Linked DNA regions of Macaca mulatta. The protein of the gene in region 1 binds, or shares a complex with, the protein of each later gene. Links are inferred from orthologs where the notes say so. Each region holds a gene or a part of one and is shown on either strand. Other genes may lie near its edges. The genes, in order: STRIP1 and PDCD10.

Region 1 (13,931 bases):
CTCAAAAAAAAAAAAAAAAAAGAGTGGGGAAGAGGCATCTCCCCTAACAGCTGTCTGGAGTGAAACTGTTGATATGTTTTGAAATATATTTTTGGAATTGGTAGTACTAAGTGGTCTCTCTGCAGGCTAGGCATTTTGAGTATTTGATTTTGCTTTCAGTTTTTCCTCCTGTCACTGTAGCTATCTGAAAGCCTGTTTCCCTCCTTTAATTTACTTTTTTTTTAATCTACTGTGGGCTTCCTACTCTAGTTGCAAGAGGAAGGGGCCCATTTAGAAAAATATTTTGGGGCCAGGCATGGTGGCTCATGCCTACAATCCCAGCACTTTGAGAGGCCAAGGTGGGTGGATCACCTAAGGTCAGGAGTTCAAGACCAGCCTCATCAACATGGCAAAACCCCATCTCTACTAAAAATACAAAAATTAGCCGGGCATGGTGGTGCACGCCTGTAGTCCCAGCTATTTGGGAGGCTGGGGCAGGAGAATTGCTTGAACCTGGGAGGCGGAGGTTACAGTGAGCCAAGATCATGCCACTGCAGTCCAGTCTGGGCAATAGAGGAAGACTCTATCTCAAAAAAAAAAAAAAAAAAAAGAAAAGAAAAAGAAAAATGTTTGGGTTTGGGATTTTAGTTAGGGATTTTTGTGGTGACTTATCCTCTTTCAGAAGACTGTTTGAAGACAAATGTGTGGGGCTTTTGCTAGAGTGCAGGGAGTTTGGCCAGAGAATGTTCTCCCCAGCCCTTCTTTTCCCATCTCTCCCTCCAGCACAAGTACACGTCGATTGCAGAGGTCCAGGCGCAGATGGAGGAGGAGTACCTCCGCTCCCCTCTCTCAGGGGTAAGTTGGAGGTCCTCTTCAGCCACCAGGATCCCCAGCTCTTCCCAGGCATTGTGCTGGGATTAGACCACAAGGTTGCCCCAGGCCCTGCCCTCAAAGAACTCCCAGTCCACCTCCCAGTGCAGAGGGTGACACAGGTCTAGTGCAGGGTTAAGAATACAGACTGAGTCAGGAACCTGCCTCTTATGCCTGGATCTACCACTTTGTGGATGACAACTTAAGCCAGTTACTGGGTGTCTCTACGCTTTATTTCCTTGTGTGTGAAATAGGAATAATAATACCTTTATAGGGTTATTATAATAAGAATGAACTGAGTTATTACAAGTAAAATGCTTGGCACATTGTGTTCAGGGTTTGCTGTTATCATTAACATCATTATGTACATCACCGTCTACAGGTTTTCCTCCAGCCAGCTAGCAAGCTGGCTCAGGAGATTGTATTCTGGGCTGGGGTTTTATGCTTGTACCCATTATGTTAAAAGGGAGAAGAAGAAGTTGAGCAAGTCCCTGCAGAAACCCTCTACCAAGGCTTGCTCCCCAGCCTGCCTCAGTATATGGTGAGTGGCGCTTACAGTGGGACCCTCCCACTACAGTGGCCTTAGAGTGGGCCCTGCCCTCCTCCTGCCACCTGTGGACCAACAGAAGGACTGCTCAGAGCTTAATTTTGGCCCTGGGCTCTCAGACCTGTGTCTGAATGGTCTACTCTTCCCAGATTGCCCTCCTGAAGATCCTGTTGGCTGCAGCACCCACCTCAAAAGCTAAAACAGACTCAATCAACATCCTAGCGGATGTCTTGCCTGAAGAGATGCCGTGAGTATCGTTCTGTGAATGGAGCAGGTGGGGCAGAAGATAGATGGAGAAGGGCAAACGTTTTCCTCTTGTCAGGTTGGTTGTTATTGGCCCAGCTTCTCTACAGGTTAAATGTAGGTATTTTTGACTCAAAAAAAAAGGAAACTACTAGATTAAAGAGTTTCACTGGTTAGGGAGATGGCTTGGTCCTGTTGGCCTGGATTCTAGTGTAGACTCTGCCACTGAGCGAACTCCTGAGTGAATTGGGGAAAGTAATTTCCTCCTCTGTAAAATGAATGGGGCCACCCTGGACATTGCCCCGAAGCCGCCCTCTCCAAAGCCGCCCTCTCCAGCTGTGATCGGGACACCAGGATAAGGAGGGTTAGCTTGTAGACAGCTTGCCAGCAATAGCTGAACCTGTGCCAGGTATAGAGACGTCCCTTTTCGCCAGTAAGCGGACGCGCAGAATGCTGGCAAATGGCTCAGGGTGATAGAGTGAGATTCTTCAGAGCTCTTCTGCGCTGGGCCCTGTACTCGTTTTTCATGTGAGAGTACAGATTGAGATCATGTTCTACTTTGAGAAGGACCTGGACCTTGACCTGATCTCCTGCCTGCCTGGGCCGCCAGCCCTGAGTCCAGCTCCTGGGTGGCTGTGGCCCTGAAGTATGGCAGTGATGGCCAGGTGAAGGAGGAGGCAGGAATTGGCTAATACCAGAGGGAGAATCACAGAACACTAGGCCATCATGTGATGATCCTTGAAAAAAAGGTTCTAGAGTCATACTATATATTTGATTCATGGATTTCTCTTATAAGGAGGAATTCCTTTTATAAAGATGTACAGTGAGAAGTCCTGAATTAAGAAACTGATGTAACTCAGTGCTTCCTAAATTTATCTGACTCCAAAACCCTTTTTTCCATGACATGAAATTTGCCAATATCCTGGTATTCCACAGAACACATTTTGGAGAACTCAGGTTAATACGGCAGCTTAGGGGAGCTTAGGGGAGATCTTGGAAAGGAGAAGAAGTTCATTTTTAGAGGAAAGGCAGAGAAGCAGACTAAGAATGTATTTGAGGGCATCATGGGGAAGGAATAAATTGTGCCAGGCTACATTGCTTGGGAGGTGGATGGGGGAGCCCTGGGCTGACTTCTGAGATGTCCATGGGGTGAGTGGGGAGGTGGGAGTCTTTGCCCAGGGAGGCTCAGGAGTCCATCTTTTCTGTGGGCACCTAGAAAGGAGGTACTGCACATGCTGGTGGCTTACCCAGGCAATTATGTTTCCAGCACCACAGTGTTGCAGAGCATGAAGCTGGGGGTGGACGTAAACCGCCACAAAGAGGTCATTGTTAAGGCCATTTCTGCTGTCCTGCTGCTGCTGCTCAAGCACTTTAAGTTGAACCATGTCTACCAGGTACCCGCAGGGCTTTCCCTCCTGTCCTGTGGTCTGGGGCCTCAGGCACTACTGCTCCTCCAGCCCACAAGAACGGGGGCCTTGGCCTTTGACCCGCTTGAACTCTGCATGAATGTTCTAAGACATGGCCCTCCAGCCAAGGCCTTTCATCCCTGGAGGAAAGAAGGCAAGGTCCCAAGGGCCACGCCTTTTTTTTTTCTTCCCCTGTTGGCTTCAGTTTGAATACATGGCCCAGCACCTGGTGTTTGCCAACTGCATTCCTTTGATCCTAAAGTTCTTCAATCAAAACATCATGTCCTACATCACCGCCAAGAACAGGTGACGAGGGCCAGGGACCGTGAAGGGGCGGGTATGGTCAGACAGCAGAGTTCCCAGCTGGTATTTCCCACTGCCTCCATTTTTCCAGCATCTACGAGCCAGCGCTCTGCAAGGCATCAGGACACAAAGATAAATGAGACATGGCCCCTGCCTGTGGAGAGCCCAGTGTGTCAAATCTGAGTCGAGCTAGTCGCGCCCCAGGTGCCTTGGCCTGTACCTGGGCAGGAGGGTTTTCATCCCGGGATCTAGTACTTTCTTCCCTGTCCCTTTTGTACTTTTTTTTTTTGAGGAGACCATGGGCTGCTTGCTCTCTCTAAGGGGCTCGGCCATGTGCCCTGTAATGCCCTGTCTGCTGACTCTTAGCCCCTGCTGTTGGCCTGGTGCCAGCTATAGTTGACATTACTTGCTCGTCAGTGTGATATACCACAGGGCGCTGGCCAGACCCTGTCTCCAGAAAGGCTTGGCATCAATTAGTTGCCCTGAGCAGTCTCCTCCCCAGCCCCGCACTGATGGCTATGGGGGAAGCTGTGAGGGTCTCTGCCCCTTACAAGATCAACCGGCTGGCCTCTGGCTACAGGAGTGCCTTACAAGTTCCCTTGTAGCAGATATTTCCTCGTCTTATAGCTGGGGAAACGGGTGGGACAGACCAGGTAGATTCCTACTTCTGCTCCAACAAGTGAGGGAGGAAGGCTGGGAACTGGCTCAGGCATGGCTGCTCCACTAGGCCCTGGGCCTTTGCTCATGGTGGGCACCTGGATCCTCTCCCCTCTGCAGCATTTCTGTCCTGGATTACCCTCACTGCGTGGTGCATGAGCTGCCAGAGCTGACTGCGGAGAGTCTGGTGAGTGGCTGGGCTCTCCTCGGCTGTCCCTTTGGCACCCGGGTTAGTGAGTAGAGAGCCTGCCTACCCCAACACCACAGGAATAGAGGTGTCTCCCACAGGCGAAGTCACTGTGGAGTGCCCGGCTTTTAGAGCACTGTAAGTGTACAAAAGGGCCAGGAGGAGGGCTCTTGCAGAGCAGAGAGATTTGGATTTAGGGATTTGTCAGGGAGTGTGATCTTCAGGGGCTGCTGATCCAGAGCTCACCTCGTAGAGGGCTTCTCTCCCTCAACACTGGACTCAGCAATAGGAGCCCTAGGGCAGCCCAAGGCTGCAGCTCCCAGTATCACGGTTCATGTTTCCTTCAGGAAAAGTCTGGGGAGCCTCCCTCTTCCCCTAGTCCCTGCCAGTTTCTGGGACGGAGTCCTGGGGCTGCTCTGAGAGCAGGGGGTTCCTGGTAGAGGCCTGAAGACCCGGCTCTTCTAAGATCATGTGTGAGGGACTTTTGGAAACTGCTGCACACACTGTAGCCGTGAGGGCTGATTGTTCCTGGGTTTACCCTGCAGGAAGCAGGTGACAGTAACCAGTTTTGCTGGAGGAACCTCTTTTCTTGTATCAATCTGCTTCGGATCTTGAACAAGCTGACAAAGTGGAAGCATTCAAGGACAATGGTAAGTGAGTCAGTGCATTCAGCAGGCTTGGAACTTGGAGCTCAAAGAAGAGTGCTGGGAGCAGGGAGTCCCTAGGGTGGGGCTCACTGTGCCTTCTCACTTAACTTTGCTGTAGCCATATCCTTGCATTTTATGGGCCAGTTCCCAGTTCCTTGATGAGTTTGATGAGTTGAACTGGAAGCTGGAAGAGGCCCAGTCATGCACTAAAACAAATCTACACTTATAGAAGAGCTTTTTCCATGTCATCTTAATCTTGATTGGTTACATAACCAGGGTTCTGAGAATCTTCCTTAACTCTGGGTCTGTGGATGCCTTTGGGGTGGGGAGGTCCTTGAATCCTCTGGTAACTTATGTGTACATGTACACAGGAATGTTTCTGGAAAGAATCCATAGCTTTCTTCAGATTCCAAAGTGACCCTTAGGGTGACCAACCATCCTGGTTTGCCTGGAACTCTACTGGTTTTAGCATTTGAAGTCCAATGTATTAGGAAACGCTTCAGTCCAAGGGAAACTGGGAAGGTTTGTCACCTTAACTTCCAAAGGGTTAAGCAGCAGCGTGACCAGGGCTGTATGCATTTATTTCTGTCTTCAGCTTGGGCTGCTTGCTTGTTTGCCTTCCCAGATGCTGGTGGTGTTCAAGTCAGCCCCCATCTTGAAGCGGGCCCTAAAGGTGAAACAAGCCATGATGCAGCTCTACGTGCTGAAGCTGCTCAAGGTACAGACCAAATACTTGGGGCGGCAGTGGCGAAAGAGCAACATGAAGACCATGTCTGCCATCTACCAGAAGGTGCGGCATCGGCTCAATGACGACTGGGCATACGGCAACGGTGAGGCTCTGCACTCAGTCACATTTGGGTGGGAGTGTGTCGGGCAAGGTGACATCTTCCACTCCCTGCCCGTGGTGCTCAGGTGCTTCTCTGCCCTGAGCTTCCCACCAAGGAACAGAAAGGAGCCCAGCTTCTGCTTTTGTAGCATCAGGATGGGCACTCTAGGAAGGACTTTGAGAAGCTACCCAGGCTTGGCATCTGCGATCATCCCCATCTCTCCCTGTACCTCCAAGTCATTCCTTTTCTAGAAATTGTCATAACACTATGTCCCCTCTTTTCATCCCCATTTTGGCCACCCAAACTTTTACAGCTCTTGACTGGCTTCCCTGCCTCTAGTTCCTTCCCCTCCATCAGTGTCTTAGATTTCCCTAGTGATCCTTTTTTACTTTAATTTTTTTCAAAGATGGGGCCTGTTTCAAAGATGGGGCTGTGTTGGCCCAGGCTGGAGTGTGGTCTTGGCTCACCATAACATCTGCCTCCTTAGTCTCCCGAGTAGCTGGACCACAGGCACATTCCACTGTGCCCACCTAATTGTATCTTTTTTGTAGAGACAGGGTTTCACCATGTTTCCTAGGGTGTTTTTTTGTTTCTTTTTTTTTTTTTGAGACAGAGATTCTGTCACCCAGGCTGGTTTGCACTGGCACGGTCTCAGCTCACTGCAACCTCCGCCCCCCAAGTTTAAGCAATTCTCCCCCCTCAGCCTCCCAACTAGCTGGGACTACAGCTGGACTCCACCATGTCCAGCTAATTTTTGTATTTTTTGTAGAGATGGGGTTTCACCATGTTAGCCAGGCTGGTCTCGAGTTCCTGGCCTCAAGTGATCCACCCGCCTCGGCCTCCCAAAGTGCTGGGATCACAGGCGTGAGCCACTGTGCCTATCCTTCTCAGGTGGTTCTTGAACTCCTGGGTTCAAGGGATCCACCTGCCTTGGCCTCCCAAAGTGTTGGGATTACAGGCATGAGCCACTGCGCCCGGCACCCTAGTGAATCTTTTCAACATGCAGCTTCTGTGCTGTTACCTCCCTGAGTAAAATCCTTCATTAGCTTCCTGTTTCCCTTAGAATTAGATTCAGACTCAAGCATGAGGCTCCCTCGTCCTTTTTCATTATCCTCCTCTGTAATCTGACCCAGCTTCCTTTTCAACCTCGTTACCTGCTGTCAGTCCAGCCTCCATCATACCCAGAGCTCCAGGCACAAGGAGTGCTTAGTGCCCTAACATAGCTGTGTGGTTACCACTGCTAGGCCTCTGCAGACGCTCTTCCTCCACCCGCAGGGTCTCCCCTGCCTGCCTGGGCTGCTCTGTGTGGGTGTGTTGCCACATTGTTGCGTTTCTGGAGTATACCACCATGGCTAAATGACTGTGTCTGTACTCTCAGTGCCTTGTGAATGTGTGCAGGCCCACGGTGGCACACGGTACCTGGTCAGGGAGTTGAGAGAGAATGAGCAAATGAGAGGATTTCCAGGTTCCTCCCTCTGACCCCAGAGAGCTAGGGAGGTTGCCACTTTGAGAGAAATGTGTTGTACACATGGCTCTCCCTCTCTGGGTCTACATAATCTCTACAGTATAAGCCTCTTTGTCGGTACTTCTGTCTTTTCTGCTTGTACTTGACTCTCCTTTGGATCTAGGAAGGAATTCCTAGAGCTCGGAGGTATCCTGCTCCTAGTTGACACTCAATATTCCTGGCCAGGCCCCTGAGCTGCAGTGAGTCCATGGGGAGCTGCTACAGGGCGTGGCTCCTAACTGTGTTCTTCCTGCTTTGTCTCAGATCTTGATGCCCGGCCTTGGGACTTCCAGGCAGAGGAGTGTGCCCTCCGTGCCAACATTGAACGCTTCAACGCCCGGCGCTATGACCGGGCCCACAGCAACCCCGACTTCCTGCCAGTGGACAACTGCCTGCAGAGTGTCCTGGGCCAACGGGTGGACCTCCCTGAGGACTTTCAGATGAACTATGACCTCTGGTTAGAAAGGGAGGTCTTCTCCAAGCCCATTTCCTGGGAAGAGCTGCTGCAGTAAGGCTGTTGGTTAGGGGACTGAAACAGAGAAAGGAGGATCTCAAGGTACCTGCAGGACTGTCCTAGTTCATGGCTGCAGCGCTCCCATTCCCCACCAGGTGGCAGCACAGCCCCACTGTGTCTTCTGCAGTCTGTCCTGGGTTTGGATGAGCCCAGCTTTACCTCCTATTGGTTCCCAGGGTCCAGCTCAGAAGCAGTCATCTCTGCCTGGGATCCATTCTTCCTTTATTTCTCTCACCCTCCTCTCTTGGACATGGTTGGTTTTGGCTCATTTCACAATCAGCCCAAGGCTGGGAAAGCTGGAATGGGATGGGAACCCCTCCACAGCACATCTAAATTTCAGGGGTCATGCTGATGCCTCCTGAGACACACAAATCCTTGCTTTGTCAGCTTGCAAAGGAGGAGAGTTTAGGATTAGGGCCAGGGCCAAAAAAAAATACAACGGTGTCTTGGTTGTGCTCTGGGGTGGGGGTGGGGGGTTTCTGTTGTTATTCCAGCCTCCTGCTATGTTATATGCAGAAGTAATTGCAGAGGCTCCTGCAGCTGCCTCCACACTTTGATTTTGGACAGGGACAAGGTAGGAAGAGAAGCTTCCCTTAACCAGAGGGGCCATTTTTCCTTTTGGCTTTGGAGGGCCTGTAAATACCTATATATAATTCTGTGTGTATTCTCCTGTGTCATGTTGGGGTTTTTAATGTGTTTGTGTATTCTGTTTACATTAAAAATAAGCAAAAATCATTCCCGTTGGCTTGTCTACGGGAAATATGGCCTCTACATGTCTCCTCCAGGTCTAGAAAGTGTTTTTTTCTGCTAGCATTGCTGGTCACTGCTTGTCTTGCCAAGCTGCCTGCCTTTCCCATCCTGGGGGAAGAGAAGAGGGAGTTGGCATTTATCCAGTGTAAATTAACCCCACAGTAATCTGGGATTACTCTCACCCAACTCCAGGGCACTATCAAGGTTACTTTACTGAGACATTGTCCTGCACCCCTGGGTTTGCTGTAATTTCAGTAGGAGCCCCAGGTTTCTCTGGATCACATCACTGAGCTGGCCTCAGCCAAACCAGTGTCAGTGCTAGAGAGGGAGGGGCTAGGTCAAAGCAAGGGGGTCAGCTGCTCTAGGTCCTCCCTGGGGCAGGTGGTTGGGACTGAGCGGAAACTTCAGTACTCAGAGCGTAGGAAGCAGACTATCAGGAGTCAGGTTCATGGTGGGAAACAATGTTGCCAGGAGCTAGGAGCCCCCTGTGGCTGAGAAAAAAGCAAGGAAAATCTTTGAAGTGGGTGTCAGTGGACACCTGGCGCCTACACTCTGGCCTCCAGACCCCTGGTTGCGTCTGCCTGAGAAGATATTACCGTTTTGATGCTGGTAAAAGGAGTGTTCCCTTTTTAGAATTCCTGGAAGCTCTTATTTTACCTGTACGCAGTTGTTTTATAGGTTCTTAAGTCTTGAAGGGTCTTGACTTGTAAAGGAAACATGTTCTGGGGAGAATCTCCCCTTCGTTGGGTCTTGTGTTCAGTGCCTGCCTGACCTGGGACCTGCTGAGCCTCAGACAGGCCTTTTGATGTGCCAGCATGGTTAGGGACAGCAGGGGTGGAAGGCAGCAGTGTACTCCTGGTGGTCACACAGTCTGTGAGATGGGAAGTCCCATCTGTGACTGATGGGCCCTTTGCCCCAAAGTAACTTGTACAGGACAAGGGAATTGACAGTTTATGTGTGGATGATGGATTTTCTGCTATTTCTTGCCAGGACTGGTAGGAAATATGTATCTTGAGATTTCAATTAGGGAGAGATGGATTTTTCACATTGGTACTGTCCCATGAAGCCTGAGTCACTGAACCTGCATGGTCAAGGCCTGTCTCTCCTCTGACCTGCAAAACAGAATGCAGGACTATCAAAACTGCAAGGGCCGTGAAGCCTGGGCAGGTGAATCCCTTCAGCTGTAGGCCCAGGAGCCAGCCCAGAGAGAGGAAGGGGCTTCTCACAGTCACAGAGCATGTTAGTGGCAGGTTGGCCATTTGAACTCAGGACTTTGTACAGAAATGTCTTTTGGAGCCACCCAGTTTTTGTGGCTTTTTAAATCTCATCTGGGTCATGAAGTAGGCAGAGTACATGAAGACCCTTTGTAAATGATTGAATTACATAAAATATTGTTTATTGCTAAGCAGACTCAGGGTCCACTCTTCAATCCACTGAGAGACAGACTACCCTGAGGCAGTATCACTGTAAGGATAGGAACTGTCCCTTATTAATCATAAGAGTTACCACTTATGGGTTGCCAAGTAGGTACCAGGCACAATATTAGATGCTTCTCAAAGCCTTATTTTCTACAAAGCCAGTAAATACTGAGTACTTACTATGTGCCAGCCAGCATTCTAACCACTTGATGTATAATATCTTATATATTCCTTGTAATATCTTGAAAGATACATGCCATTTTAATCCCTATTTTGCACAGGAGAAAACTGTGGCACAGAAAGGATAAAGAACTTGCCCAAAGTCATATAAAGGCAAGAGCCAGGATTCAAATCCAGGCCTCTGTCAGCACATGCATTTTTTTCACTTCCTCACACCCTTTGCTATTAGTCATTGTCATACCCCAGCACTTACCACCAGTACTTACCACCAGTGCATTCATTTGCTCATTTATTTACCACAGCCAATACTTCTATTTGCTCTAGCATCATCCCTGGCATGAAAGATTCATGGTAAATGTCCATTGCTTTAGGTCCTAACTGGACCACCCAAGCTTAGCCTTGGGCTAGCCTCTGGTGTTCCTTGAATATGCCCTCCTCAGGGTAACTTGGCTGTTGCTGCTGTCTTTTTTCTTTTCAGCCTGAGCCTAAATTTCTTTCTCTTCTGGGTCCCAGAGGACTCTTGTGTTGGCTGCCCTATCCAGACCTGTTAGGCTCATTTCCCAGAAAGCTGGCTTCTTGTCTGTCCTGGATGAGCTGACTTCTCAGAGGAGAATAGCTGTTACATTCATTCGGCACTTAGCACAGTCAGCCTCAGGAGCACCCTTTGGAAGTGAGACAGCCCTGACTTTCAGTTCGGGCTCTGACATTTATTCACTGAGGGACCTTGAGCTAGTCACGTTCCAAGTCTCAGTTGGCTCATCTGTAAAAATTGGTTTAATAATAGCCCTATTGCGTGGACTGAGTAAGATCATGGAAATGAACCTACAGGTCTGGCTGACAAGGGATGACAATAAATGGTAGCAGTTCTTAGTCTTGGCAATGGCCCCTCCAACTCTAATGTTCTATGAATTTGCACCCATTTCCTGTGTCCGTAGAAGACAGAAATCCCCTTCAAGGACCAGAACCATGTCTTAGGCCTCCTTAAAGCTCCTGGACCTAGCTTGCTGCTCTGAATCCAGAGGTGTCTCAGAAGAGTCAGCTTCTCGTCCAGCAACCTGCCATCACACCTTGAAGGCCTGTTGGGGCCAGGCCCTGTGGTTGATGCCCTGGATATCCAGGTGACTAGGATACCACACTCTCTCACTTCTCTCGAGCTCACAGTTGATGGAGACACAGTCATAAGAGCAAGTAAAAGCAATAGCATGATAGGTAACAGACGTCTGAAGGGCTTACCTCAGGTCCCACTGGTCCCAGCCTCTTACTATTGGAGGAGAGATTGCTGGGGGAGCTGGCAGTCGCTGAGTGGGAAGGAAGGGGGCTCCAGCATCAGTATCGAGGGCTCTGACAGCTAACGCTTGATGCTTACCACCTTCCAGGTGAAAATGGCTGGGATGAGCCTGAGGAGGAGACTGGGGCAGGGGCAAGGTATGTCTTTCCTCTGCTGGATAAAGGAAATGTTAGGGTCTTCCCAGTTCCTGGCCATGCTAGACTCTTCCTGTCTGGAGCTGCAGAGGGTCTGCACTTTGGGATTGTAATTCAGGTTGAAGTGTAAATGGGAGAGGTGCGGAAGGAGGATTGAATGCCTCGTAGGAGAAGCATTTCCAGCTGCTGACTGAGGTGGGCAGACTGGACTGATGGGCCCCCTGGCTGTGGCCCTCTAGTCCTGACCTGGTGTCCATGTTCCTGCCAGGACCAAGATTTAGGGCTCTGGCATCTTCTCTGGGGGAGACAAGAGCCTCAGCAAAAGGAGCTGGGATTTCAGGAGGGGCCATTTCCCCTTTCCCTTCCCAGAAAGAGTGGCCAGAGCACAGGCTTGGCCTTGAGGAACCACTGGCCTGGGCGGAGGTCTGAGGTTACCTCTGGAGTGAGGCTGGGGACAGGGGTATCTGGAGATGGGGGCTGTGTCTTAGGGGTGTGTGGGAGGAGGAGGGACACAGCTAATGAGAAGCAGGTGGAAGGGCTGCATGCCCCAGCCAGGGGACAGGCTGGCTGGGATGGCCCAGTCAGTAGGAGGACCTGTCACCTTACAGACAATCCCACGGAACAGGCTCCGGGATGCCCATTCATATTCATTATGTGTGAAGTGGGCGGTTGTAAAGTTAGCTTTCTCTTCATTTAGCTGTCACTGGACAGAAAAATATGAGCTGTGGGCAGATGCCCCTGGATGAGAGCCAGTAGCCAGTCTCTGGCCTCCCTGTACCCTCCCCTAGGAGCCCCCCATCCCACCATGGGTCCCCTCCTGGCCTCTGCCAGCCTCTGCCAGCTTCTCCCACTCTTCTTGCTTCATTGACCTCTGGCTCACCTTTATTTTTTCTCCTGTCTCCCACTTTTGGTTTCTTTGTCTGGGTTTATCACAGATCCTTTCCTCTTCCCTCCTTTCATCTTTCTAAGCCCTCTTGAGGGAAAAAATGATATTTTTCCACAACCATCGCTCTCTCTGGCACCCAGCACATTGCCAGGCTGAGTTGGTACTCAAAATGTTTGTAGAACAAACTACTCTTTCTACATCTGACTTTGTGGGGAAGAAGGTCCAAAACTTTGCTGATCACTCCTTGGATGAAGAAACTTCTCATACAGCGGTGTGAGCCCTGAAGTCAGAATGGTGGGCTTGAGCCCCAATTTCATTACTGCCTGGCCAGGTGAAAGAGATTCTGTCCATCAGCGGCAGCCAGGGATGTCACTCCTTCCTACCCTGACTCTCCTCTTTCTGCTGGATCCCCTCCGGATACAGGGCTCACACCTGTGGACCTCAGAGCCCGCGTCAGGACCGAGAGGAAAGAAATCACCAAAAGTCAGACCCTTGTATAGAGGGAAGGGGAAGGAAGGGAGGGAAGACAGACTCCTCTGGGGATACACGCGACTGTCTTGGCTGGGAAATCTGATCTGGTGGGGGACTCACCCCCTCCTCTGGAATCAGCTCAGCCCTGATGTGTCTTTGTGGGCTTGGGTTTCTCTGTGCCTGAAAGATGAGGCGTGGGGTGGGGGTGGCTGGGCTGCTGGCAGAGGCTGAATTCTGAGCAATGTGGTTGTGTTTACTGGGAGGGTGGGAGGGCCAGACCTTTTTCCTGCCTTCCAGGCTTCAGAGATAAGGCAGAAAGTGGGGATGAAGGATAGAATGGGTAATACTCTGAAACTACAAGAAAGAGTTCTGGCTTTTGTCTCTGCGCCACAGCTCAGACATGTTCCTGGGGCATCTGGAAGGAAGCCACCCCACTCCCACCACCCTGGGGTCCCAGCCCATGGGGAGCACAGAACCTCAGTGGGCACCCCTTTCTTCCATTCTACCTCCCGTCTGTTGTCAGTTTAGCCACAAAGTTATTTCAGCTTTTTTGCTACCCTTCCCACCCTCAGTTTTCCCTGCCACATGCACCCAGTCCTAGAACTGAGCTTTTCTCCCTGCCTCCCAGCACAGCCAAAGCCACAGAGACCCTAGGCAGGTGACAGGGCCCGGCCTGGCATGCATCGGCCTTGAGGCCTCTGCTGCAGGACCACCTTCCCCTTCCTTGCTGGCCCCTCAGAGGTCCTGGCCCAGCCTGCATCCTGGACATAGACCAGCCCCAAAGCAACCAGTGTCCAGCCCTGGGGATAGACAGTCACCTGGTATAAAAAACACCACCACCTTTATTAGAATGCTGGGCAGCATTTTTTTTTTCTCTCTCTCTTTCCCTTTTCTTTCTTTTTTTAAAACGTGTCTTTACAAAAATGGGGATCAGGATCTCAGTCTGTGGAAATCTATTTTATTCTGACCAACATCCAGTATCATTTCCATGGCATAGCTCTGGGCTGGTCCCATGGAAGAGATTCCAAATATGTGATGATTTCTGGTGGAATTTCTGCCCCCTTGGAGGGGAAGATGACTGCATGGCATGCTGGGAGTGCAGGCACAGGGCAGGAGTGAA
Region 2 (15,912 bases), on another chromosome or scaffold:
TTTAGTAATTATATAATTTTACACTTAGGGACATCTAGAAGCAATCTCTTGTTAATGATAAGTGTATATAGCACTTTACCACTGTATTGTTTATATATATGCTTTAAAAATATCAAATGGACAATTTGTGAGGAAAAATACAAGGAAAAAGCATAAGCATTTAAAGACTCAAAGCATGGACTCAAATTCTGGTCCTGTCATTTATAAACTATCTTTGTCTCTGAACAATTCATTTCACCCCTCTATGCTTTAGTTTCTTCTTTAATATGTTTGACAGCTCTAGGGTACTTAGCAGCACAAGCTTGTGGATCTTCAACTTGGTGCTGCTGAGACTTCTAACTCACCTTAAAAGTTAACTTTAAAAGTTAACTTTATCATGTCAAGTGTATGCACTTACATATTTTGTAGAATACTGTTTCTTTTTTTTTGGGGGGGGGGGACAGAGTTTCACTCTGTCGCCCAGGCTGTAGTGAAGTGGTGTACCTCCACCCACATTCAAGCGATTCTCCTTCCTCAGCCTCCCGAGTAGTTGGGTAAATTATAGGCACCTGTCACCATGCCTGGCTATTTTGTATTTTTAGTAGAGACGTGGGTTTCACCATGTTGGTCAGTTTGGTTTCAAATTCCTGACCTCAGGTGATCCACCCACCTCAGTCTCCCAAAGTGCTGGGATTACAGGCATGAGCTACCGTGCCTGGCCAGAGTACTGTTTAATACAGAAATTTATAAAATGGGTAAGAAGTAACTTTTTCTACACATAGACAGTATACAGCAGGAGATAGTGCTCAGACTGGAAGAAAAAAACCTCAGTTTGAATTTTTGCTCAGCTGGATGCTATCATTTCAGTTTCGTAAATCTCTATTTCTAAACTAGTGAGAATCAGAAATATTGAAGTACTCACTTCCCCAGGTTAAGAGTAATAAATGCATATTAGACACTTAATACAGTAGCTAACACACAATAACCATTCTATTCATATTGTTATTAATATTTTAGCCAAAATTATAGGGACCTGACATGGAATCGACTACAACTAGGGTGAGGCAAACCAGATGCCTAGAACACAAAATTTTGCTCTGATTTGCACGACTTGGAGAGTTACTGCTTCTTCAAAGTTTGTACCCTAGGCACATTTCTTGCCTCACCCTAGTCCTTCCCCTGCATAACATACACAATAAGACTCAAACACTGATATCACAATGTCATAAAGGCCACCTACATAGCATATTTTCAAAATCTTTTTTCTCCCATTTGCCAAAATGGGTGCATAAAAAAACTTAGTTTTGGCTTACATAAAATAATTTGGTCATCGGGGCATTTTAAAACTATTTGCCAAGTCAATGTTAAAATTACTTTTTCTAAATGTACATAGGTAAACTTAACAAAGGAAACCATGGTCAAGAAGCAGGTTGGGTAGCAGGCTGGGTTGCAGACTGAAATCAAGATTTGATCAAAGCCCTTGAGATAATTCATAAAAGGTGATAATCTATACAAGATAATCAAAAGTTGACAACAAAATCAAAGAGCTCATTACCTCTGAATTAGCTGATGGGAAATGGAAACAATAACAAAATAGTAACAACTGGCTCCTTACGATACTTCAAAGCAACTTGTTCAGGAGGAAAAATATACATCTTTTTAGTTTTGACTATCCTCATTTTTTTTCCCTATGTCTAAATTTTTGGTAAATTCTGATCTGAGTAAAATTTAAATGAAAATACTTGTTGGGAGACAGGAAACAAATTTGTCGCCTTGAATATGTTTATCTTTTGCCCATAAAGTTCTCAATCTAGTGGTTCATGAATGATGCCTAGTTGAATAGTTGTTCGGTGTTTAATTGAGGTACATGTCTATTTTCCTTTCTGCTAATATTATTCCTTGTCTTAATTTCTCCAATATGATGTTAATTAAAGCTTTCCTTTAAAATCCCTTAGAAATCAAACTAAACTTAAATCCTCAGACTGTTCTTATGCCCTCTCTGCTTAAAGGTACAATTAAAGGAATCTGTACCACCCTGGGTCAGAGCTACTTGCTTTGTATCACTTATAATCTTAGATACCTAGAATTTAACTTAATGACTCCTAATGGCTTAAGATCTTCTAAAACATGCAACAGGTACTTTCATTACCTTTGCACCAAAAACACTGCTACAGGCCACTCAAATGTTGATAAAAAGTATTAGCCCCAGACAATAAATAGCCTCTGCCTTATTTAACATTAGGTGCTAATGAGGCCAAGATTCTACCTTGATGATGCCATTTAACTTTACCTTTAGCTCCCAATTGATCTCAAATATAAATACTATTGCTTACAAGAAGAAATTAGGGTCAGAATAGTATCTGTTTTTACTGCATTTACAGTTCCTCCTGTAACCTTCACTTTGCAAAAGTGTGATTTATTTTTTAAGGAAGCATACCAAAAATAAGGTAGAACCTTGGAAATCTCTCAAATTTTGACAGTATTGCATAAATGCCAATTTTAATATGGATAAAGACAAAGAGAAAGATGTGCATTTCTCAAGTAAAAAAAAAAAAAAAAACAAAAAAAACAAAAAAAAAAACCAAAGGATTCCAAACGCTTTGGAATTAAATGCAAAAAAAAAAAAAAAACAACAACAAAAAACCTTGCAACAATCTAAACTCGTATAGGGAGCAGTTGCTGTCTAGAGGCCAGGTCTGATTCATTTAACATTCCCAACAGGCTTTTGTTGTAGTAACCTTATATAAGTCTGAGGAGGCAGCCAGTGTGTAACATCTTAGGGTTTTGTCATTCCATAACTTCAATCTCAGTTGAATTCCAGTCTATCTTGAAGTAAGAGAGAATGACTGAATAAGACAGGGAGACCCATTTCAGTGCCAGGGACCAGATGGCAGTTAGACACACTATCATTTATTTTTCTATCAGCTGTAATCTAAAATTATAAAATGAACTGATGCACATGGAAGTACTTACTATATTAGAAAGACTAAATGTCCATACAATGGTCTTTCAACCCTTTCCCCTTGTATCTACTAAAGTATAAACTCCCTAAAGAGAAATTGTATCCATTTCTCTATTTCCTAGTATCCAACACACTATTCTGCATAGTCAGTCTAAGTCAGCAACAGTGTTAGTTGGAGATATGGTGATGAAAAGCTGAATAGCACATACCCTTGAGGGTATGGAGTTTTGCAGGGAAGACAGACAGTAAAGAAACACAGTGACATGTCACACTGCCACTTGGCATTAACACTCCAGGGAGCATACCCGCTTCACACGATACTCCTACCCTATGCAAGTTCAACAGACATGGTGAACATTTGTTTGAAGAAAACAAACAAAAAATAACTTTATTAAAAATAACTACTGGAGTATATGGTAATTCCATTCCATATGCAAAAGTCCCAGAATGAGAGAGATAAGAAACATGGATCTGCCTCTCCCCCCACCAGACTGAGAGCCACAGTGAGCTCTCACAAAGAGCAGCTTGCCACACTGATTGTGACTCTTGTACTGTAATATATGTATTTCTTTTTTCAATATGGTCTCTGAATAACAAGTCAAACACTTCACCTGGTACTCAAAAGAAATCTACTCCAATGCTAGAAAAAAACTGGCTGTGTTGAAGTTGTGTGCTACAACGTGTACTTCCTAATAGGTTTTTCAAAAGTTTGAATATTAAGTAATTTCTGCCTGCCACGCTGACCTTAGCATTTAAGACTTAACTTCTCTGTAACTACAACTCTTAATGCTAATTTCTCTCCAACACAGTTCAATCACTAACATCATTTTTACTTTAATGATGAAAAACATGGTCTCTTGAGTCAGCCAGCCTGGATTCAAATCCGAATTCCAAGCATTTTTTCCTGCAACCTTAGGCAAGTTCCCTAACCTCTCTGTACTTTAACTTCCTCATTTAAAAATTGGAGGTAATAGTGCCTCTACCTCCAAGGGTTGTTGTAAGGATTATAAGAGATCTTGCAAAATGCTTAGCATGAGACCTGACAGTTACTTACTACTCAATAAAAGCTAGCTATTATACTAGGTTCCAGCTCATTCCAAAGAAGGTTTAAGGCAATTTCACAGGTAATATGCATTCAATAAGTAAATGAATCAAAAAGTCATTATTTAGACTAACCTCTGCTAAACTTATTCCCAAGGGACTGGCCTGACTATGTTAGTGACTACCACTTAACATGTTCCACTGCTGTTACCCAATAGTTCATAAGCTTGTTAATAAAATTCTTTTCTTTTTCTTTTAACCCTACAGGCAACCTTGATTCTGTCAACTGTATAAGAATGAAACTGAATAGTGTAAAATCACCTCTGGGTGATTTTAAAAATGGTTATACATAGCCAAAAACGTAAGGGTGAGCTTGAAAAATAAGTGTAATATAATACATTTAAGACACATTTAAATTTTGTAGCTTAAATGACAAAATTGAAATTTCCATCTTCATACAGACAAAAATGAACCACCAAACCACAATGTTTATCTTTCAGCACATAAATTATTTCTAATTGCTATAATAAATGTGCTTTAATTTTTGCATTGTGTTTGTGTGTGTGTGTCCCTAAAGCATAACCCTCTAACACCGCAGCTTACTAAAATATTTCAAATGCAATAACATAAATAACAACGACATTTAACTTCTAAACCACTTTTATAGTTTATATTATGGAAAAAAATTATTTATCGTGCAAGTGGCTTAAAATTCTTAGTAACCCCTACGATAATGACCTTAATCGTCCAACAACATATAAAAAGCAGTACTTCAGCTTCAACCTCCACATACTGGTTATGCTAGGTAAATATGAATATTTCATCCAAGATTCAAGTAACATCAACACTGACTTTCTAAAAAGTTTCGGATTTAGCAAAGACTTGTTTTTAATAATAAAATGGATAGTATTACTAAATTTTAAAGCCAAATATCAGCAATCTCTTTTTGACAATATCTTGTGGAAAAGTAAACTGGTAAATCCATGAAGGCATATAAGGCTATAATAACTCAGGACTATTGACCTTACTCTATGCCATACTGTGGTACAACAAATGACTGCGGAATTTGTTTTCAAGACCAAAACCTAACACGATTTATCACTAAAATTCAGTTTGCATGTTTTAAAAAATGATCTTTTTATGCTTAAGTCTCCAGGTTTAAAGCAAATAAGATTCACTTAAGTATTAGAAAAATTTTTAGGAATCCCAAAATATAAGTTCCTTTGAAACAAAAACTACTCAATTTTACAAAGCCACCTTGTCTAAATTAAGTGATATTAAAGGTATAATTCATAGGAAGATAGCAAAGTTAAAAAGCAAGAAACAAAACAAAAAAGCAAAGAAAAAGGAAGAATTATGGATTTTAGAATATGGAGACAGATCTGGATTCTAACCATGGTTCCAGTACCTACATTTTGGAAACTCTAGCAATTTAAACTTTTTTTAGTTTAATAAGTAAATTTACTTATTTTCTTGATGTCTTCAGCTATAAAACAGCGTTAATAATACTACCTAGAGGAAATAAAGGTTTTTAGGGCAAAATGAGGTAACATTAGGGAAGAAGAGTCCATTAGAAGTTTCTTCCATGTCTGTATTTTGTCATAATGAACATCGCTTTCAAAAAGCAGGACAGTGATCTCTAAAATGCTGCGTTACACAGCAATTTTGCTGTAAATGAAAGTGATTCCTTTGTCATTTCCATCTAGAAAATTAAACCTGATTTCAGAGACCTCCAAAAAGAACAAACATTTTTCTACAATTTATATTAAAATTCTGTCAATGACTCCTTTGCATATAACCTAAATTGCCTAAGCATTACGGCTCATTTGAAAGTTCTTATATACTTCAATCCAGAAAGCATATCTGCTTTATTCATTTCTCTATTTCTGTCCCCAGAGAAGTACCGGAAGCATTGTGCATGAATACACTCCTTCATTCATTCAGCAAATATTTACTGAACCCTTATATTGTGCCAGGTACTACGTAAGTAGTGGGGTAGGGTAACACATGACAAATGAGAGGGCCCTGCTCAGGAAGCTCATAGTCCAGTGAGGAGACAATATTTGTCAAATAAATACAGAAATAATTAAGTTTCTATTATCATAATGCCACAAAGGAGTATAGAGTATGGTGAATACATGGCGGGAACCTATTCTGGTTTTGGGAAGGAGGGCAAGGCTCCCCCGAGAAAGAATATTTAAATTGAGATATGAAAACTGACTATCAGGTAGCCACATTTAGGTAGGCCAAGGAGTGAGATGGAATATGCAATGGCCACCAAGTCAGGAAGGAGCTTATGTATGTAGTAACCAAAAGGCATGGTAAATGAGAAAGGCTGGGGATAAGGACGGAGAGTTGGATAGGAGAAGAGATAAATTTTTAGTGTTAAACAGAGTAAGAAAGTAATAGTATTTGAATATTTAAGTCACATTGTCTTGTTCTCATGTAAATCTAAGGGAACTAAGTCTTTACTCCACAATATTAAAGATCTGTAGTCAGAAGATCTCGATTTTTATCTTACTCCCACCAGTTACAAGTCACTTAACCAACCTGAGCTTCTTCATTCTCTTCGTAAATATTACCTTACCTACTGAGACTACAATAATAAACAGCCCCTATTCTTACAGACCTTACATCCTTAAGAGAAAGAGACAGATGTATAATATATGGAAGACATCCCAAGTCCTATAAGAAATTACATCCAAAAGCCGATGGCTCCTGCAAAGCCCAGCATGAGAATAAATGAAGACACTGGTGAGCTGCAAACTACATGTATACACATAACTCCGTGAACTCTTAACTATCCAACGTGCAGAGATCTAAAGTGACAACAATACTGCAGCATGTGATTGAAAGATGATTAAAAACAATACAAACATTAATCCACCATCCCAATAGAAGAAATATCAAAACTATAATTGGCCTCAGACATAGAGTAGTGGCAGAAATGAACCAAGAACAAAATCTAAAATACACTGAACAAATGCATTATATTATTTCCAAAATTTCCTCATAGTTCAAAACCTCTTTCGATAATGACAGAGTTATGTGCCAAAGGTTAGAATTTATTTCACACCTCCTTCAACAAAAGGCAAATACTTACATTGTCATCTAGAAAATACATTAATATTCTTCCTTTACCATCACTGACTCATGTTCAGTTTATGGTCTATTTACACCACCGCACCCTTCTTAATCCAGCACAAAGTCAGTTATCCTCACATAATTTTCCATTTGTTTAACTGGGTCTTCCTTGTCTGTGTACTACATTACTCATGGTACATTATTCCTGATTTTACTTCATTCTATAGTAGCATACTTTTTCTATTTTAAAAATCGTATTAATTTCCAGACCATCTTAATTTCAACCATCAGGTAAGAGAATACCTCTACTCCAAAAAAAAATTTTTGCATTAAAAAGTTACTATATTGTTGATAATATAGTAACTGCAGAGTACATTCAAAATTCAGCATAGTCTGATGATCAACTTATACACAATACAGTAAGCTATGATTTATTACATGTTAAGAGTAAGCCATGATTTATTACATGCTAACCTTTATGGATATAAAGTTATCACAAAGAAATTCTGGCATCAATGAACATACTCTTACAATTCTATTAAAAACCTATCCAATAATAATAGTCATGAGCTATAACTGGTCATAATAGAGGATAAAATTTGCATAAGGGCACTATTTTCTGCAAGAGATAAAATGTAAGTGTACTGTTTTTTCATTCTTTAATGTAAAGTAAGAATGAATTGAAAGTCACAGATGATTCTAAGAAAAATAAAAATATGTAACAGCCTAATTCTATTATTTGCAGACACACACACAAATACAGCCTAAAGTCAAGAAAATGGGGGAGAAGTAAAATCTCAAACAAAAAAGACGATGTTACCTCCAAGAAATGCAAAGTACTTTCTTTTCTAGTAACGGGCACACTAAACTCTCCTAACATTATTTGAAAAAAGTTTAAAGTTTTGTGAAAGAATTCCAATCCAACTAGTATCAGTTTTACAAAATGAGAGTAAAAACAGTCCTAAAGTAGAAAAAGAAAAGAATGTTCTTCTAAGGATGGATATTAACTGTTGTTCTCCCATCCTATTACCTACCCTTAAAAATGAACTGAGAGAGTAGAGTCTATCATTTAATACATCCCTAAAAAAGAGGGGGAAATCTGTAAAAGTTAACACTGATCCTTTTTTTCCCAAAAGGTTCTTTCCTTTATTGAGGAATTTCACTCCAGTTCAAGAAACAACTTTTCATCTCACAATGGCTTCTTAGATGTACTACATAAAATACATTTACTTTGCAACTTCCTCCACTCTTTTCAAAAAGCACAACCAACGTCCCTACTCCAGAAGCTGAACTCGAACAGGACTAGATTCAGAAAGTCTGTCCCTACGTGTGTGACCTTGGGCACGTCATATAATCCCTCGGTTTCCTCATCAGCATCCCAAAATGAAAGCGCTCTGAAAGCAGTAAAGGAGTAAAAACATACTTGGGTATGACACCTACGAGGGTCAAGCCTTTCTGTTTAAGGCAAAATTACCTCCTTAGAGAGCCACATCATTAAACTGGAACTGAATCCGTAGACCTCAACATTTGTCTCTTCCTTCTTCCAGTGCTCCCCTTCCCTCAAAGGGCATAACCCGAGTCACCCCCGACAGCAGACTGCCCAGCACCCTTTCCTTCCTCCTCCCTTTCTCTTATTTACAAAGCAGGGGGAAAAGAGCAGCCTCACCTCTCCGTGCGAAGCCACACCTTCAAAGGACCCCACCCCAGGAACATCCGCCCTCTCCCCTCTCCCGGGGCACCAGGGGCCAACCTCGCCCTTCCCCTCCCGCCCCCACCTAGAGGAGACTTCCTGGAGGCGTTCGGGCCCAAGCCGGCAGGCGGCATTTACAAACCCGCTTTACGCCACTCGCGTAGGGTAACCTCGCTTACGCCCGTAGGGCCCCGCTCTCAGCCCCGTCCGCTCCGCCTGCCAGAATCAAGCCCGAGTGCCTCAGCCATGGCCCCTGCGTGACCCTAGACCTCTTCTGCTCGGTGCAGAGCTATGGGGACTGGGACAGAACAGCTACACCTTACCAGCAACTGAGGCACTGACTTCACTTCCCACCTTTGCAGCCCTCTTCAACTCCCGGATCAATTCACTCCGGCGACGCCGGAAGGACCCGAGAGGAACCAGGCGTTGTCCGGAATCCTGCCCAGCCGGAGTCGCGCAGAGGCCTATGGGGACTCGTAGTCCCGCTCGCCAACGTTGCCCGGAATTCCTGCACTCGGAAGACTACACTTCCCGGCAGGCCGTGCGGGAGATCCTGAGGCGATGGGTGGGGACACTTCTAGCCAATACTAGGAGAGTTCCCTGCCTTTGCGGGAGGAGGTGAGATGAAGAGAGATGGTGCACGGAAGGGAGAGGAAGGGCGGGGCAAGCCCTCACCTGCGCCAATCAGGGTGCCGGGTAGGCCCCGCAGGCGCCTCACCCATTGAGGGGGCGGGCTGACAGAGCAGAGGAAGGAAGGGGGTGAGGGGCCCGTGGTGGGGATCGTGGGGTTGTCGGGCTGAGTATGCCGTACGGGTGGAGAGGAAGCCTCGGGGAAATCACCCGGGTGAAGGGAGGGCTTGGTGTGGGGACTTGCACAGGGCGGAGGAGCAGCTAAGCCCCGGGCACATCGGGCAACCAGACCCACGCGTCGGGGAGAGATAGGCTGAGCCGGGGCTCCCAGCAGAGACGCCTGGGTGGGGCAGGAGACCGCTCCAGGTGTGAGCCACAGAGGAGGGGAGAGGGACCCCCAGGGGAGGGGAAGTGGCAGAGCAGCTGCAGAAGTGCGGGGAGCGGGAAGGTACACGGGCAGCTGCTTTCCGCTGCCTCCGGCCCGGGCAGCTGCAAAAACAGCAGGGGGAGGAGCAACAGCTGCCAAATTCGCCAACTAGAGGAGGGAGAGGCGGAGCTTGGGTCCCTGTAGAAGCCAGAGGCGCAGTCTGGACTGTAGTTTCCCGGGAGAGACGAAAGCAGGAACGAGAGCGGAGCGGAGCACAGTCCTCCGAGCACCAGCTCCAGCATCCCGTCAGGGGTTGCAGGTGTGTGGGAGGTAAGCGTGGGTCCTTCTTCGGGGCGTCTGCACTGCCCTGGAGAAAACGTGTTCCAATAGGAATTACATCAAGATACAGCTAAAAGAGCCCGCCTTGGGTTAGGAAACCGGTGTAAACCCTCTCGGGTGAAAGATTTACATTTTTGGACTGTAAGGGCAAAAAAGCAAAAAGAAGCTTGACTCTGGGTATAAAGGGCGTGGTTAGTGTTTTTGGTTTGAGTTACACCAGTAAAACTGTTCTGGGGGGATCTCAAGATTGAGAAAAACCCTGCTAATTGAGGACGAGGTGGATGTTATCTGGTGGATGTTATAGGTGCGTAGCGTATGAAAAGCAAAAATTTTGCTATTGATATAGAATGACTTCTGAACTATTTCACTAGGAAGATAACTTTGCGTTCTTCTTCAGTGTCTACCTTTATGTTGGTTTATCAGATTGTTCTGCTACCGACCTGTTATCCAGGGTGGTTATTCTGCAGTTTCATAGAATTGCAAGAAATCCGTATTAAAGAAGCAAATGCAGGCAGGAATAGTCAGGATAGGATGGGCTCTGACTTAATCTATCAAAAGTATAACTTTTGCCAGCAATAATGTAAAAATGAATTTTAATGAATGGATAGTTAGCTTTCTTTCCAGTGGCTCTGGAATATTGGAACAAAGACCTGGATTCAGCCTACAGTGGGAACATATGGTGTACCTCACTGCTGCTCCTTATTCTCTCATTTGTGTCCGATAATATGTGTACATTTTAAAATCAAGAGTACATGGAAAGCTGTGTGGGAATCTTTTCTCTGGGTAGAAAGTATGTGCTGAAGGACTATCCTTAATATGTGTTATGATGGTGGGTTCAGATTTAAAACACATGTAGTGTCACAAAATAATAGTTTATTCTCGGTATTAAACCATATGTGTATTCAAAGCAACGTAATTGTAATACCTATGGATGGAAATATGTTGTAATGCTGGGTAAAGATGAAAGTCTCACCTACCTTTGTGTAATTATGACAAAATTACAGCCTTTTATTTTTAGAGAAGTAGTAAGAAGCTATTTTCCTAGTTCATTTTCATTTTGTTACAGAGGTTCCCAGATTACATGGCTTTTAATCATAGTAGCATATTGCAGCAAATTTTGCTCTGAAATGCTTTCATTGTGACAGTTGTATATTTCAGAGTCTGTCTCAATACTTTAATCTATGTTTTTTTAATAACCAGGGTCAATAAAATGGAGTAATTGCCTTGTTTTCTCCTATTTCTGTGCTCTCCTGAGTTCTCGGGATTTTACATTTTATTTTTGTAATGCATGCCAGATTTCTCTTTGAAAAGAAATGGCTCAAATGAATTCTCTTCCCAGCTTAAAGTTCAGTCCTACTGCGTGCTACTACCGGTAAGCCTAAGTGACTTATCAGTGTATATACTCTTCCCTCCCACACTCTCACATACCATAGAAATATATAGACAGATAGCTCTTAGAAAAACAGCTGCTTTTTGATTATCCCTAAGCAGATCAGCTAAGTATCAAAAACAGCAAAGAGCTTAGAAGAAAGAAAAAGCAACAGTAGCTGCTAAACTTAAGCACTGTAAGGATCAGATTTTATCTTTGCTACAGCACTGGAGAATCTATTAATTCACATAGCTGATATGGCCCTGTGAAAATGATGTTGGGGTTAAAAAAAAAAAAAAGTGGGTATTAGGGTGACACTTGGAAAAGATTGTTTGCCCTTGTTATTTGTGATTAAGTGAATTGTCTTGAATCAGTCTTAGATCCTTTCTCAGACTCTACTACTAATTCGTTTTGTGAAACTGAATAATTGCTGTCTCTGGGTTATTTCCCCCATGTAATAATTATAATACTAGCAATGAAATTCTTTCCGAGCCTTTATTAAAATATCTGTTTGAAAGAGTTTTATTGGGAAACAGTTAATAAGCAAGCAAATGGATAGAAGATAAATATCTAAACAGTTGAAATTAAGATGTACTTTGAATCTCAGCTTTTGATAGGTCTTCTGCTCTGAGGCATGGTAAAGGCTAGAATCTCATTAGGAATGAATGAGTTTGTGGTATTAAAGTACTGATTTTTTTCACCTATTTCCAAGATTTGGATCCTTTTTACTGTGTCAGTAAAAGAGATTGGGTTTCAATATCATTTGAAAAAAGACCATATTTTTACATGAGAGAATATCATTGGCGGTATATGGCATTTATTTTTTACTTTGAACTCTTGATTCATGTTAGTTAATATTCACATTCAATCTCAGGTAATCTGAAGATTTTTCTTGATTGGTGTTGAAAACGTTCGTTTTATGGCAGTTTATAATTCTGTGTAAAATGCTACCTATGTTATAAGCATATTACTTATTCTGCTCTCTAATTTTACTATTGGTATATGGCTATCAGTGAATATATATGATGAGAAAGGAAAAGCAACAGAGTGCAGAATGTCTCTCTTGAATGGAAATTGCTCAGGGGATGATTGTTCTTTAGCCAAAAACCTTGGTTAATTTCCAATTACCATATCCTTTGGTCCTTTCTTTAGAATTCTGATTCTAAGCCTTTTGAGTAAAAATAAGTTAGTATGGATTTCTCTTTAACAGGAGGATTCACTGATGCATGCAGCACAAAAGAGCAAGACTTAAAGGTCCAAGATCAAATGGTTTTGGTAAAGAAGGAGACAGGGGAATAGATATAAAGAAAACACTTGAGAAACACACCTTTAGCAAAAGAGAAAAAAAATTTCTATTTTTTGTTAAGTTCCCATAATCCATGATTCCATGGCCTTTTCTCCCCCAGTCATTAATTTGTACAGGCCTGTATTCATACTGGAATACATTACTTTTCTAAGTAAAATTGAATATTCAAAATCTAATGAATACCAGTCTGATTCCAGTTAAAATGGCAGTTTTTACTGGAATACATTTTGGATGATTAACCTTCCTTTTTTATGCTTTTATAACCCATGAATATTCAAAATCTAATGAATACCAGTCTGATTCCAGTCAATGGCCATTTTAACTGGAATCAAACTGGTATTCATTAGATTTTGAATATTCATGGGTTATTAAAGCATAAAAATCCTCCCTGTGTACACTCACGTCTAAGTGAAACATTATTTGGACAAAATATCAAGAAGTAAATACCTAAAATGATGTTTTGCCCCTTTAAAGTAATAAAGGTACTTGAACCAGACACTAAGATGAGCAAGATACCATTTATTTAATTAAGCAAATTCCAAAGGTTAAACACTGCTTTTGGGATCAGAATTAACATACACAAATAAGGGAGAGTTTTTTTGTTGTTTCTTTTTTTTTTTAAATCTTCTAAGAATTTAGTCTTTAAAATTTGGAAACTGTGTTTTAAGTAACTACATTATTAACTCTTAGAGACCATGTACTTCTTTTCTATCTCCTTTTAGTCCTGAGCACCTTATGTCATATTCAGCGTAAAGAAACTGAGTAACCAATTACTGAATTAGAATCATTGGACATTGGACAATACTTCTATAATGCTCACATTAAGACAATTTGCCCTTTGATAGATAGAGTCAGCTGACCTCACAGAATGATTGCTTATACATTAGTCCTTCTGAGAATGTCTTTATGCTAGTTTGCCTTTGCGAAAGTGTTGATTGAGGACAATTGGATTCACACTGTGTGGGCTGCAAATACGTTACAAATTTAGGCGCCAGCGTTTCTAAATTCATCTCAGAAATAGGATATATAGGCAAGGGTAAAGGAATCTCCAAATGGTGGCACTTAAGGTCTGAATTTCACAGACAGGAAAATCCAGGGCACACCACCATTTAACCTCAAGGCCCTGGAGTTATACCTTTGTTGAAGCTTATCTGTAGAAACCATATTTCATTCTATAAAAACTTAATTTGCTCTTCTGTTTTTCTAATTATTTCTTCTAAAAAAAGAAAGAAGTAGACTGATTTTGTTTAAACATATGTAGAGTTGGTCATTAATTGTTTTTTGCATTTGACCTTCTCAAAACAAATTAATCTGATTGGTGTTAGAATTAAGAATCTAACGTAATTTTTCCTAAATTTTAAGACCTATACAATTCTCGTTAATTGTATATAGTTTTTTAGTAGTAAAATTAATTATAGCAAATATTTAACTACCTTCTGTTTACTTTTACCTTCATGTTGATGGATATAAATTGGCTTGCTTAGAACTGATAATTAACCTGCCTTTTTCTTTTTTTTTTTTTTTTTGAGACACAGTCTGACTCTGTCGCCCAGGCTGGAATGCAGTGTCCTGGTCTTAGTTCACTGTAACCTTGAACTCCTGGGCTCAAGCTCTCCTCACACCTCAGACTCTCCAGTAGCTAGAACTATAGGCAAGAACTACCATGCTCAGCTAATTTTAACTTTTTATAGAGATGAGGGTCTCACTGTGTTGCCCAGGTTGGTCTCAAACTCCTGACCTCAAACAATTCTCTTACCTTGGTCTCCCAAAGAATTGGGATTACAGGTGTGAACCACCATGCCCTGCTGATATTATTCTTAATGATTAGCACTGTGCCTTGTGTAGGGTAAACTTAGTTCATACCATCTTTCTCACCAGATACTTAGTATCTTTAGAGCTAACACCGAGTTTCATTGACCTTTGTATTCATTTTGAGAATTCTTTTACATAGTTCATACTTGGTAAGTAGTAACAATTTGGATAACTCTTTGGCAATCTATAATGAAACATCATTTTGCAAACAAATACAACTAGTAAAATAAATTTTTCTTAGATATCTGTGTTAGTCCTAAATTCAGCCCTCTGCCAACAATGGTTGCTTATATTACGGCTAAATATAAATATTGCTATCTTTTGTTGGATTTCTAAATAAGTAGAACAAATTTTGTTATTAACTGCAACCTTGTGTGTGTGTGTGTGTGTGTGTGTTTGCACGCATGGGCGCATGCTTCAGACATCAATTTATTCATTAGATGCTGTTTAGGGTTTGTGTGGTCCTTTTCTCTCCTTGCCTCTAGAACTCTGCTGATTTAAAGATGTGCTTTTCCTTACATAAAGGTATTTTATGTAATACCTCCCCTCCACTACACATCATTTCCATTACTTTTTTTCTTAACAAATAGAGAAAAATAAATAGATAAATGTAGTATGAGGCCTCATCTTAACTAAAGTTTAACTGGTCATAAATTCTATTTTCAGTGAAAAGGTTGCATTGAGAGGCCTTAGTAAAGCTTATATTGTACCTGAATTATATAGGTATTTGTCATATCTGAGCCATCATTGGAAACGAATGAGTTTTGAGACGTGGCATTGTCAGTGCTCAGTGTCGGCCTTCTGTATATAGCTTGGTGGCGAAAACTTACAGGGTGCCTTCAGTTTCAGCCACTGCTTGGAGGCCCCCTTCTGATTCTGCCTAGGAAGGGAGACTTCGGAGCTCCTCGCAGCTCTTACTTAATGTGGGAAGGAAAACAGATGAAATGTTTTTCATTTAATAACCTTATTTTGTCAAACTATATTGTTTTTCCCAGGTGTATCTCACAGCAGCGTTCCCAGTAAGAGTAGCTCAAATGTCACAGTGCTTTCTATAGCACAGCCAGGCAATTCAGTGAGTACCTATCAACTTGTAGTCCACTCCTAGCATCTTTGCTTTTCTTGAACAGACCCCAAAGAGGCCACCGAAACATTTCTGATATTTTACCCACATTGGATTGCTTCTGTCATTTTCTTGATAAACTAAATTTTGTTGCTTTGAGGTCATTTAACCAGATCTAACTTGAAGAGATGATTTTATTGTTTTTATATCTGTTAGTAGTATGCTAGAGATACCACATTGTGATGTATAATTTTTGCCTTTACTTGAATTAAA

What was found.
Region 2: STRIP1 (region 1) and PDCD10 share a complex: the UniProt entries of both Homo sapiens proteins name them as parts of the core of STRIPAK complex. The link is inferred for Macaca mulatta from reciprocal best matches to the Homo sapiens genes STRIP1 and PDCD10.

The regions. Positions count from the first base shown.
Region 1 is NC_133406.1:130,136,466-130,150,396, reverse strand, and holds the end of STRIP1 (striatin-interacting protein 1), read left to right. Parts: intron 1-762; coding exon 763-834; intron 835-1,315; coding exon 1,316-1,390; intron 1,391-1,545; coding exon 1,546-1,643; intron 1,644-2,906; coding exon 2,907-3,033; intron 3,034-3,250; coding exon 3,251-3,351; intron 3,352-4,125; coding exon 4,126-4,192; intron 4,193-4,737; coding exon 4,738-4,842; intron 4,843-5,464; coding exon 5,465-5,669; intron 5,670-7,434; coding exon 7,435-7,682; 3' UTR 7,683-8,419; downstream 8,420-13,931. UniProt on the Homo sapiens protein: Plays a role in the regulation of cell morphology and cytoskeletal organization. Required in the cortical actin filament dynamics and cell shape. Part of the striatin-interacting phosphatase and kinase (STRIPAK) complexes.
Region 2 is NC_133407.1:79,335,712-79,351,623, forward strand, and holds the start of PDCD10 (programmed cell death protein 10), read right to left. Parts: upstream 9,110-15,912; 5' UTR 9,080-9,109; intron 8,831-9,079; exon of another isoform or gene 8,733-8,830; intron 8,626-8,732; exon of another isoform or gene 8,541-8,625; intron 1-8,540. UniProt on the Homo sapiens protein: Promotes cell proliferation. Modulates apoptotic pathways. Increases mitogen-activated protein kinase activity and STK26 activity. Important for cell migration, and for normal structure and assembly of the Golgi complex.